Linked DNA regions of Mus musculus: region 2 is reported to be linked to region 1. The links are microRNA targets in miRTarBase. Many come from high-throughput screens and were not tested one by one. Region 1 holds a microRNA gene; the other region holds the end of a gene's coding sequence. Distances are between the middles of the regions.
Evidence for each region. The annotated mature microRNA mmu-miR-127-3p reads UCGGAUCCGUCUGAGCUUGGCU and lies in region 1 at 1,099-1,120, shown strand. An mRNA with a match to its seed (bases 2 to 7 or 8) in the 3' UTR can be bound and repressed. Matches are read on the target gene's strand: a 7mer-m8 pairs with bases 2 to 8, a 7mer-A1 pairs with bases 2 to 7 and ends in A, and an 8mer does both.

Region 2: the mRNA of Tspan13 is a reported target of mmu-miR-127-3p. Seed matches in the 3' UTR shown: 7mer-m8 at 1,183-1,189.

The regions. Positions count from the first base shown.
Region 1 is chr12:109,591,790-109,595,991 of GRCm38, forward strand. Mir127 (microRNA 127) reads left to right here and starts at 1,057; the gene lies at 1,057-1,126. It overlaps Rtl1 (retrotransposon Gaglike 1), which reads right to left. Exons shown (of 2, transcript NM_184109.2): 2 at 1-3,699. The coding sequence starts at 3,614. 6430411K18Rik (RIKEN cDNA 6430411K18 gen) reads left to right here. Exons shown (of 1, transcript NR_002848.3): 1 at 1-1,062. Mir433 (microRNA 433) reads left to right here; the gene lies at 1-49. It also overlaps Mir434, Mir432, Mir3071 and Mir136.
Region 2 is chr12:36,011,958-36,015,957 of GRCm38, reverse strand. It overlaps Tspan13 (tetraspanin 13), which reads left to right. Exons shown (of 6, transcript NM_025359.3): 6 at 186-1,403. The coding sequence ends at 260. Among named protein-coding and RNA genes, the nearest start is that of Agr2, 21 kb to the right of the region's middle.

The sequences.
Region 1 (4,202 bases):
GGCTCCTCGGTGTTCTCCAGGTAGCGGCACCACACCATGAAGGCAGCCCGGATTGGAAGGATCCTCATCTCCACTCGAGGGTACTCCACCTCCATTGTAGAGAGGGGTCTTGAATAGAAAGCACAGGTAGATTTCTTGCCAGTTTCGTCGTCGGTTTGGACCAGGGAGGCAGACAGGAATGACCCAGTGATGTCTGTTTCCAAGTAGAATGGGTTCTGAGGCTTAGGGTGATAGAGAACGGGCGACTTGCGGAAAGCCCTCTTCAGGGATTCCAAGGCCTCCTGCTCCTCTTCTCCCCAGTAGTAGGGCTCTGAACTCAGCAGTTGTCTCACTAGGGGTGCTGCGATGACAGCGAAGTTCTCCACGAAGTGGCGATAGGGATAGACAAGGTCAATCACACTTTGAAGACACCTCCTGCTGCCAGGGACAGGGCACCCCACGATGAGGTTCATAAGGTTCTTGTTCAGTTTCACCCCTTTGGGGGATATGTTGAAGCCCAAGATTTCAGCGGTCTGGCGATGGAACTGAGTTTTGTCCAGTGAACAGTAGATGTTGTGATACCGAAAGCGGACCAGGACTTGGCGGACATGCTGGGAGTGTTCCTCCTGGCTCATTGAGTAGACCAGGACCTCTCTGCCATGGCAAATCACAAACAACCCTAGGATGTCTTTTAGGATGAAGTGAACAATGTTGTTCCCTTCGTCAGAGTATGAGTTCATTGTGAAGGGCCGGTAGCATCTCATCTGGTGAAGGCCGAAACCGAACGATGCTCTCCAAGTGTCTTCCGTGTGTGTGACCGTGTGCCTCATCTCACTTTCCTTAATCCCAAGCAGCTCCAGTTTTGTGAACCATGCCGCTCCATGTAGCTGGTCGAATAGCTCTGGTACCATCTGCGTGTAGTCTTGTCTGTCAGTCAGCATGTCATACAGTATCCAGTATTCCTCTTGCTCCCTGGCTTTCTCTTGCTGCCTGGCTTTCTCTTGCATCCTGGCGCTCACAGGTTCCAAAGTCTCTCGGGCCCCAGACTCGTAAAAGACGCCGCTTTGATCACTGTCTCCAGCCTGCTGAAGCTCAGAGGGCTCTGATTCAGAAAGATCATCGGATCCGTCTGAGCTTGGCTGGTCGGAAGTCTCATCATCTGCCTCCCTCGGGTTAAACACGTCGGCCAGGTCTGAGTATGTGTGTGGCAATCCGGGCAGTAGGCTTATGCTGTATGTCTCTAGTGCGATGCATGGTGGAGGTGGGGTGAAGCAATTCCGCAGACAGTAGGGAGAGTGGAAGGTACACCGGCCTCTCATCCAGTCGACTTCAGGGGCATGGGTTCGGAGCCACTTCATGCCTAAGACGATGGAGAAGTTGGGCGAAGGTAAGATGTCAAATTCGATGTACTCATAATGCTTCTGGTGGACACATACCAGGGGCTCGGTGCACAGCCAGACGGGTTCATTGCCAATTGGGATGCCATCCACACCTTGGATTATCTGTGGATAAGGCTTCTCATAGAGTTCCACATAGTGTTCCTGGGCAAACCTCTCATCCATGTAGTTCCCTTCTGCTCCTGAGTCCACCAGGGCCCGCACTGCGACACTGTGGTAGGGGTCCACTCTCACCAAGAGCAGTAAGAAGAGGTGATCGCGATCAATGTCTGGGTGGAACTCATTGGGCAGCCAGCTGCTTACCCTCCACTTCTCTGGGGCGGGAGCATCCATCCAGGCTACGCTTCTTGGGCGCGACTCAGGTGGCAGCCTGAGTAATGCTCTTCTCTCTGCCAGCTTTTCTTCAAGTTGCAGGACAAGTACAATCAGGTTGTCTAGGGAATTCGGCTGAGGGATCCGGAACAGATAGTGCCTGATCTCTTCGTTGAGCCCCTGGCACAGGTGGGCCTGCAGGACTTCATCTGGCCAGCCTAAGGTGGGTATCAGACCCCGGAACTCATTGATGTAATCGGCCGCACAGCGGTTCCCCTGCCTGATGTTGAACATGGCGTCTTCCGCCACACGCAGGGTCTGCCGATACTCAAACTTTTCTGACATGGCCTCCAGGAAGGCTGAGAAGTTGTTTATCACTGGGCTGTTCTGCTCTACGAGGTCGTTGGCCCATTCCAAGGCTAGGTCAGTCAGGTGGCGGATGACGAATTTCACCCGCAGCTCATCATTGTATAGCATACTTGGGTAGTTCTGCATTGTCATCTGGCAGAGCACGACAAACTCATGGTAGTCTCTGCGATCTCCAGAGAAGGGCCTGAGGGAGGGCAGGCGACCTTCGTTGATAGCCTGCATCATGAGCCTTTCTGCCACTCTCTGTTGTTCTTTTAGGTCTTGCATCCGGAGGAACAGCGAGATGACGTTCCCCATGGTGGCCACGACTTCTTCTGGAGAGTTCTTGGGCTGACCTTCCTCTTCACCACCTTCCTCTTCCTCCTCTTCCTCGTCATCTCCCAGGTCAGTATCATCTTGGTCTGACTGGGTCTCGGATGAGTTGATTGTTTCATCCATGCTATAATCGGATGCCTCACTGAGTGGTTCCGACCCTTCCTGGTTTGAAATATCACTTGACTGGTTTGAACTGTCGCTTGACTCCTGGTTCGAATTATCGCTTAACTCCTGGTTTGAATTATCACTTAACTCCGGGTTTGAATCATAGCTTGACTCCTTTTGTGAACCATCGCTGGACTCCTGGTTTGAACCACCGCTTGACTCCAGGTTGGAAACATCGCTCGACTCTGGGTTTGAACCAAAGCTCGACTCATGGTTTGAACCATTACTTAATTCGTGGTTTGAACCATCACTCGACTCCTGGTTCGAACCATCATCACTTGATTCCTCCATGTCTTGGGGTAGATCGTTAGATGATGCCTCACAGGGGTCGCTGGATGGCTCCTCCACTTCCCGGAGTAGATCAGTGGGTAGCTCTTGCATTTCCTGGTAGGGGCCACTGGATGGCTCCTCCACTTCCCGGAGTAGATCAGTGGGTAGCTCTTGCATTTCCTGGTAGGGGCCACTGGATGGCTCCTCCACTTCCCGGAGTAGATCAGTGGGTAGCTCTTGCATTTCCTGGTAGGGGCCACTGGATGGCTCCTCCACTTCCCGGAGTAGATCAGTGGGTAGCTCTTGCATTTCCTGGTAGGGGCCACTGGATGGCTCCTCCACTTCCCGGAGTAGATCAGTGGGTAGCTCTTGCATTTCCTGGTGGGGGCCACTGGATGGCTCCTCCACTTCTTGGAGTAGATCAGTGGGCAGCTCTTGCATTTCCTGGTGGGGGCCACTGGATGGCTCCTCCACTTCTTGGAGTAGATTAGTGGGCAGCTCTTGCATTTCCTTGAGGGGGCCACTGGGTGGCTCCTTTTCTTCCTGGGCTGGGCCACTATCTGAGCCCGCCTGGGCCTCAACCTGGGCCTCAACCTGGGCTTCAGCCTGAGCCTCCGCCTGGGCCTCCACCTGGGTCTCCGCCTGGGCCTCCGCCTGGGCCCCTGCCTGGGCCCCCGCCTGGGCTCCACTGCTGCCTGGTGTCTCTTCAACGGTGTTGGATGAGCCCTCGGAGGACTCCATTTGTTTTGATGATGGATTCTTAAGCTCCATCATCGTCTCAAATGAGTCTTCAGAGGGTTCTATCATGTCGTCGGTTGGAAAGGAGTGTGCTCTGAAGACTGGTAAGATTGTGATGTGTGTGGTCAGAGACCGCAACTGTGGAGACCAAAACCTAGGGACAGAGGGATAAAAGACAGGAGAAAATGTAGCAATTTAGGTTCTCAAGATGGCAGGGTCAGATTCTATCTCAAGGACAAAGCAGATGCCAAGTTACTAGAATCAGAGAGAAAATGGAGAAATTCCTCCTGCATTCAGTTCAGCCTCCTTTTCTGGTTACTTGGGGCACCTCCAGGGGAAAGACCGTCACCCCCTGACCTGCCTTCCAGGCGGAGTCTGACTACCCCACCTGCCTACTTCCTCTAGTGGAATGAGAAATTCACAGCCCATAAATTTTGTGGAGCAACTGGCCTGGAGCGTCCTCTGTGGCGAGCTAGCACCTGGCAGGGCACACTTCTGGCCCGCTTTGCCCTGGCCAGGTTCCCTTCCCATTTGTAGTCACCCAAAAGTCATAAAGGTCACATCTCAATGCCACTCAAAGCGGCTGCTGGCAGGCTTGGTGGTCTAGAGCCAGCCCAGTGAGCTTGGTTGGAGGCGGGAATCTGCAGGGAGATGCCT
Region 2 (4,000 bases), 74 Mb from region 1:
TCCAGGCATGGGGAAGGAGCATGCAGTCTAACACAGTGTTCAAACTTCAGATTTGGTAGTGCCTGTCCTTTGATTTGCCTGAATCTTGTCTTTGCACACAAACCAAGCAAAAGGAACTCAGAAGTTTAATTTATTCTGTTCATCGACTAAATCGATTCAAAACTCGTTTGTCCTTCTAATTCCAGATCCTGGGTGTTTGGCTGACCTACAGATACCGGAACCAGAAAGACCCTCGCGCCAACCCGAGTGCTTTCCTTTGACGAGAAGACAAAGAAGACCTTTCCTCTGTTGATCTTGTTTTCTTTCTCTAATCTCAAATTAAACTAATTTGTTCATACGACAAAGGAAGCAGTATCTGAAAACCACATTATGTCAACGATGGAATTAAAAATTTTACTCTTAAGTTTCTCCAGACATTTTTTTTTTCTTTCCATTGCTAAAAAAGCAATCGAAGTTCCCCATATTCCCTGGCCCTCAGTGGTCCCTGTAATCTACTGTTGTTGGTGTCTGGCACTGTCCACCGTGGCCTTTCTTAGCATTTTTACCTGCTGTAAACTGTGTATGGCACCCCTGGGTAGATGATATTTGACCCCAGATCTTCATCTCACTGTCTAATTACCCAGAGCACTGGGGCTCCCACCCAAGACAGTTGATGTTTTATGAATCCAGAAAGGAAGAGACTCTGTTGTGTTCAGTTCATTAGGAGAAATCTATGTTCCTGATACTTTTTGCCTTTTGGAAAAGCTACATTGTAGTGAAAAGTGTTAGCACAGAAGTGATAATTTAGTTCTAGTAGTCTGTCAGGATTGCATCCCTGTGTTCTAGAAATAGCTGTGTCTTTAGGAAAATGAAATTTAGTTTTTGACCTTTTTAGTCAAGGGCAAAGGAAGATACCATTTGGGAAATGCTTTGGTGTGTAACATCTTCAGCTCTCAAAATGGGATGAATTTGAGGAAGATAGAGCATATATCTACATAATCTGATGTAAAAAAAAAAAATACGAAGTTCAAAACACTGTATATGTAAACAACTTGCCGTCAATACATTGGCCCAGGCCCATGTAACAAATAGATATTTGGTTATCTTTAAAAAGTAACTTTTTTTTTCAAGACAGGGTTTCTTTGTGTAGCCTTGGTTGTCCTAGAACTAGCTCTGTGGACCAGGCTGGCCTTGAACTCACAGGGATCCGCCTGCCTCTGCCTCCCAATTGCTGGGATTAAAGGCACGTGCCACCATCGCCTGTCAAAAAATAACTTTTTAATGACATTTCTTGGTATTGTGACAGCAAGTTGTCAAATCTAAATATATTTGAATGTACTACCTCCCATAAGTTGAGAGAGAAATGGTGTTTGTGGCTCTGTATATTACATTAAAAAAATAAAAGCTGAAAACCTTCCTTTGTATATGGGTGTTTAAATCAAAGAAGGTACTAGAAACATTGACAAGGCAAGTAGGCATCTTTCCTTCTGCTTTTCCATAGCCTTTTATTATACCTTAAGATGGTGTTTAACCAAGCCTTAGAAATACACCCCCAGTAATGATGTCTTTTGGAAGTTATTCCCAAATCCTTTCTTTTTTTTTTTTTTTTAAAGATTTATTTTATTATTATATGTAACTACACTGTAGCTGTCTTCAGACACACCAGAAGAGGGAGTCAGATCTTGTTACGGATGGTTGTGAGCCACCATGTGGTTGCTGGGATTTGAACTCTGGACCTTCGGAAGAACAGTCGGGTGCTCTTACCCACTGAGCCATCTCACCAGCCCAAATCCTTTCTTAAATTAAGAAACAATTTGTGTGTGTGTGTGTGTGTGTAAGTCAGAAGACAATTTGTAAGAATTGGTTCTCCCCACAATATGGGTCCCAGGGATCCAACTCCGGCCGTCAGGTTGGATGGCAAGTCCTGTTGCTACTGAATAATCTGCTGGCCCTCAAATGCTTTATTGAACAAGTTCATTGGCTAATGTTATCATCTGCATAATGAAAAAGGTGTTTTTATTTATTTGAAGAAGCCACTTCTATTTATATGGAGAGAGTATACACACATTCTTTTCCATTAGTGACAGTTAATTTCCTGTTGTGGTTCTGAGTAGAATGTGAAACATTATTGGTGATCGATAGTTTATACCAAGAGGTTGTTGGTAAATGGTACAGAGGAATGCACCTTGGGGCATCTGTGTCTCTGCTGCTAGTGAGTCTTACCCAGAAGCAGAACTGCGCTATTTCTAGGGTGTCATGCCGAGCACCATGGCCACCTGGGCAGAACTGCTTATGCTGTAAAACGAGAGAAGTGACTCATGAAAGGAGAGTGTTGAAGGCTTGTTTTCTTTCCTGTATTTTTTCTGTTTATTCAGCTGCAGATGAAAATACCCGATGAGGTTCTAAGGAATCCTAGCATACTCTTGGTACAAATGATTGCAAATGGAAAGGTGGTTGCACAGAGAACTCGCCTATAACTTGGTTTTTGCTCTAATTGCAATGGCCTTATTGGAATCAGTTAAAAACCAGGGTCTGAGGGGCCTGGGGAGACGTCTCAGCTATTAACAAGTCATCCTGCTGTTGAGGGAGTCCAGAGTTCCTTTCCCAGCACCTACCTTAATGCCTCACCATGGTCTGAAACTCCAGTACCTACAGGGGGATCTGATACCTCTGGACCCCTCAGGCCCCTGCACACTTGTGCATTCTCTCTCACTCTCTCTCTCTCTCTCTCTCTCTCTCTGTCTGTCTGTCTCTCTCTCCCTCTCTCTCTTTCTCTCTCTCTCTCTCTCTCTCTCACACACACACACACACACACACACTAGATTTGTTTTTGGTTTTGTTTTTTAAATTAGGATCTGTCCACGGGGAGCATTTTTGTTTGTTTTGGTTTCTGTCTTTTGAGATAGGGTCTTCCTATGTATGCCAGACTTATTTTGACCTCTTTATGGCCCAGGCTAGCCTCAGACCTATTGCTGGGATTTACAATTGCAGTAAGCCCATATAAAGACCACACAATCCAGTTATTCTAAGCTGTAGATTGGGCAGATGTAACACTATTCTCTAACTTATTCTCCAGCTATAAGACCCCTTGCAGTTTCCCCTGACCAAGTGGTTCTGCTCCAACATGGCTTCCTCCTCCTCCTCTTCCGTCCTCCTTGTGTTCTCATTCTCCTCCCTCTCCACATGCTGTCCTCTCTAAGACCTCCTGTCCCACCTTTCTCCTCCACTGCCCAATCACACGCTCTAGCCTTTATTGATCAGTTAAAACAGGGAGAAGGGTCACATGAGATCACCTGACTCGGGGCAACCCCTCTTGAGGAAAGAGAATTAACATCAGAATACAAACAGCACCAGGGCAGCCCACAACATTTCCCCCTTTTTGTCCAATAAAAAAGGCTCTTTTTTTCTCAGATATAAATTTAGTGCAACTATAACAATTATGCAAATTATAAGTTATATACTTAACATTCAGTCCATCATATTTGTCAATTTAGATAAAGCACTCTATCATATATCCTAACTTAAAACGTGTATAATCCCATGCCTGAATTATGTTGATTTTAACTTGTATTACCATCTGACATCCATCCCTTCATATCTGGAACTTCTTTAATGCTAAACAACTTAATTTCAGTTATGAGACTATAACCAGTCTTCAACTCATTCAGAGATCTGAGAAGGAATTAAATATTACCTAAATATATATGTAGGAAGCATAAAGACATAGCTTCCAAAATTATACAACTTATAGAGACAGCTGGCTGCCTGGAGTCCATTAATTTTATATAATGTTGGAGCATCTATCTTTATCCTTCTGACCCATAACCATTTGACCTTAAGTAAAACAGGAATTATGGAGGACTGGCTTACTCTGTCTTGGCAGAGGATAGCAGTCGACTACTCCACCTCTGGCCTATTTTGGACAGTATTTTTTGTCTGCAGATGAATTGGGGCAATTCTTGCTCAGTGGCTACCTTGACACAATTGAAGCAACTCCACATAGAGGTAATGATGCTTAATA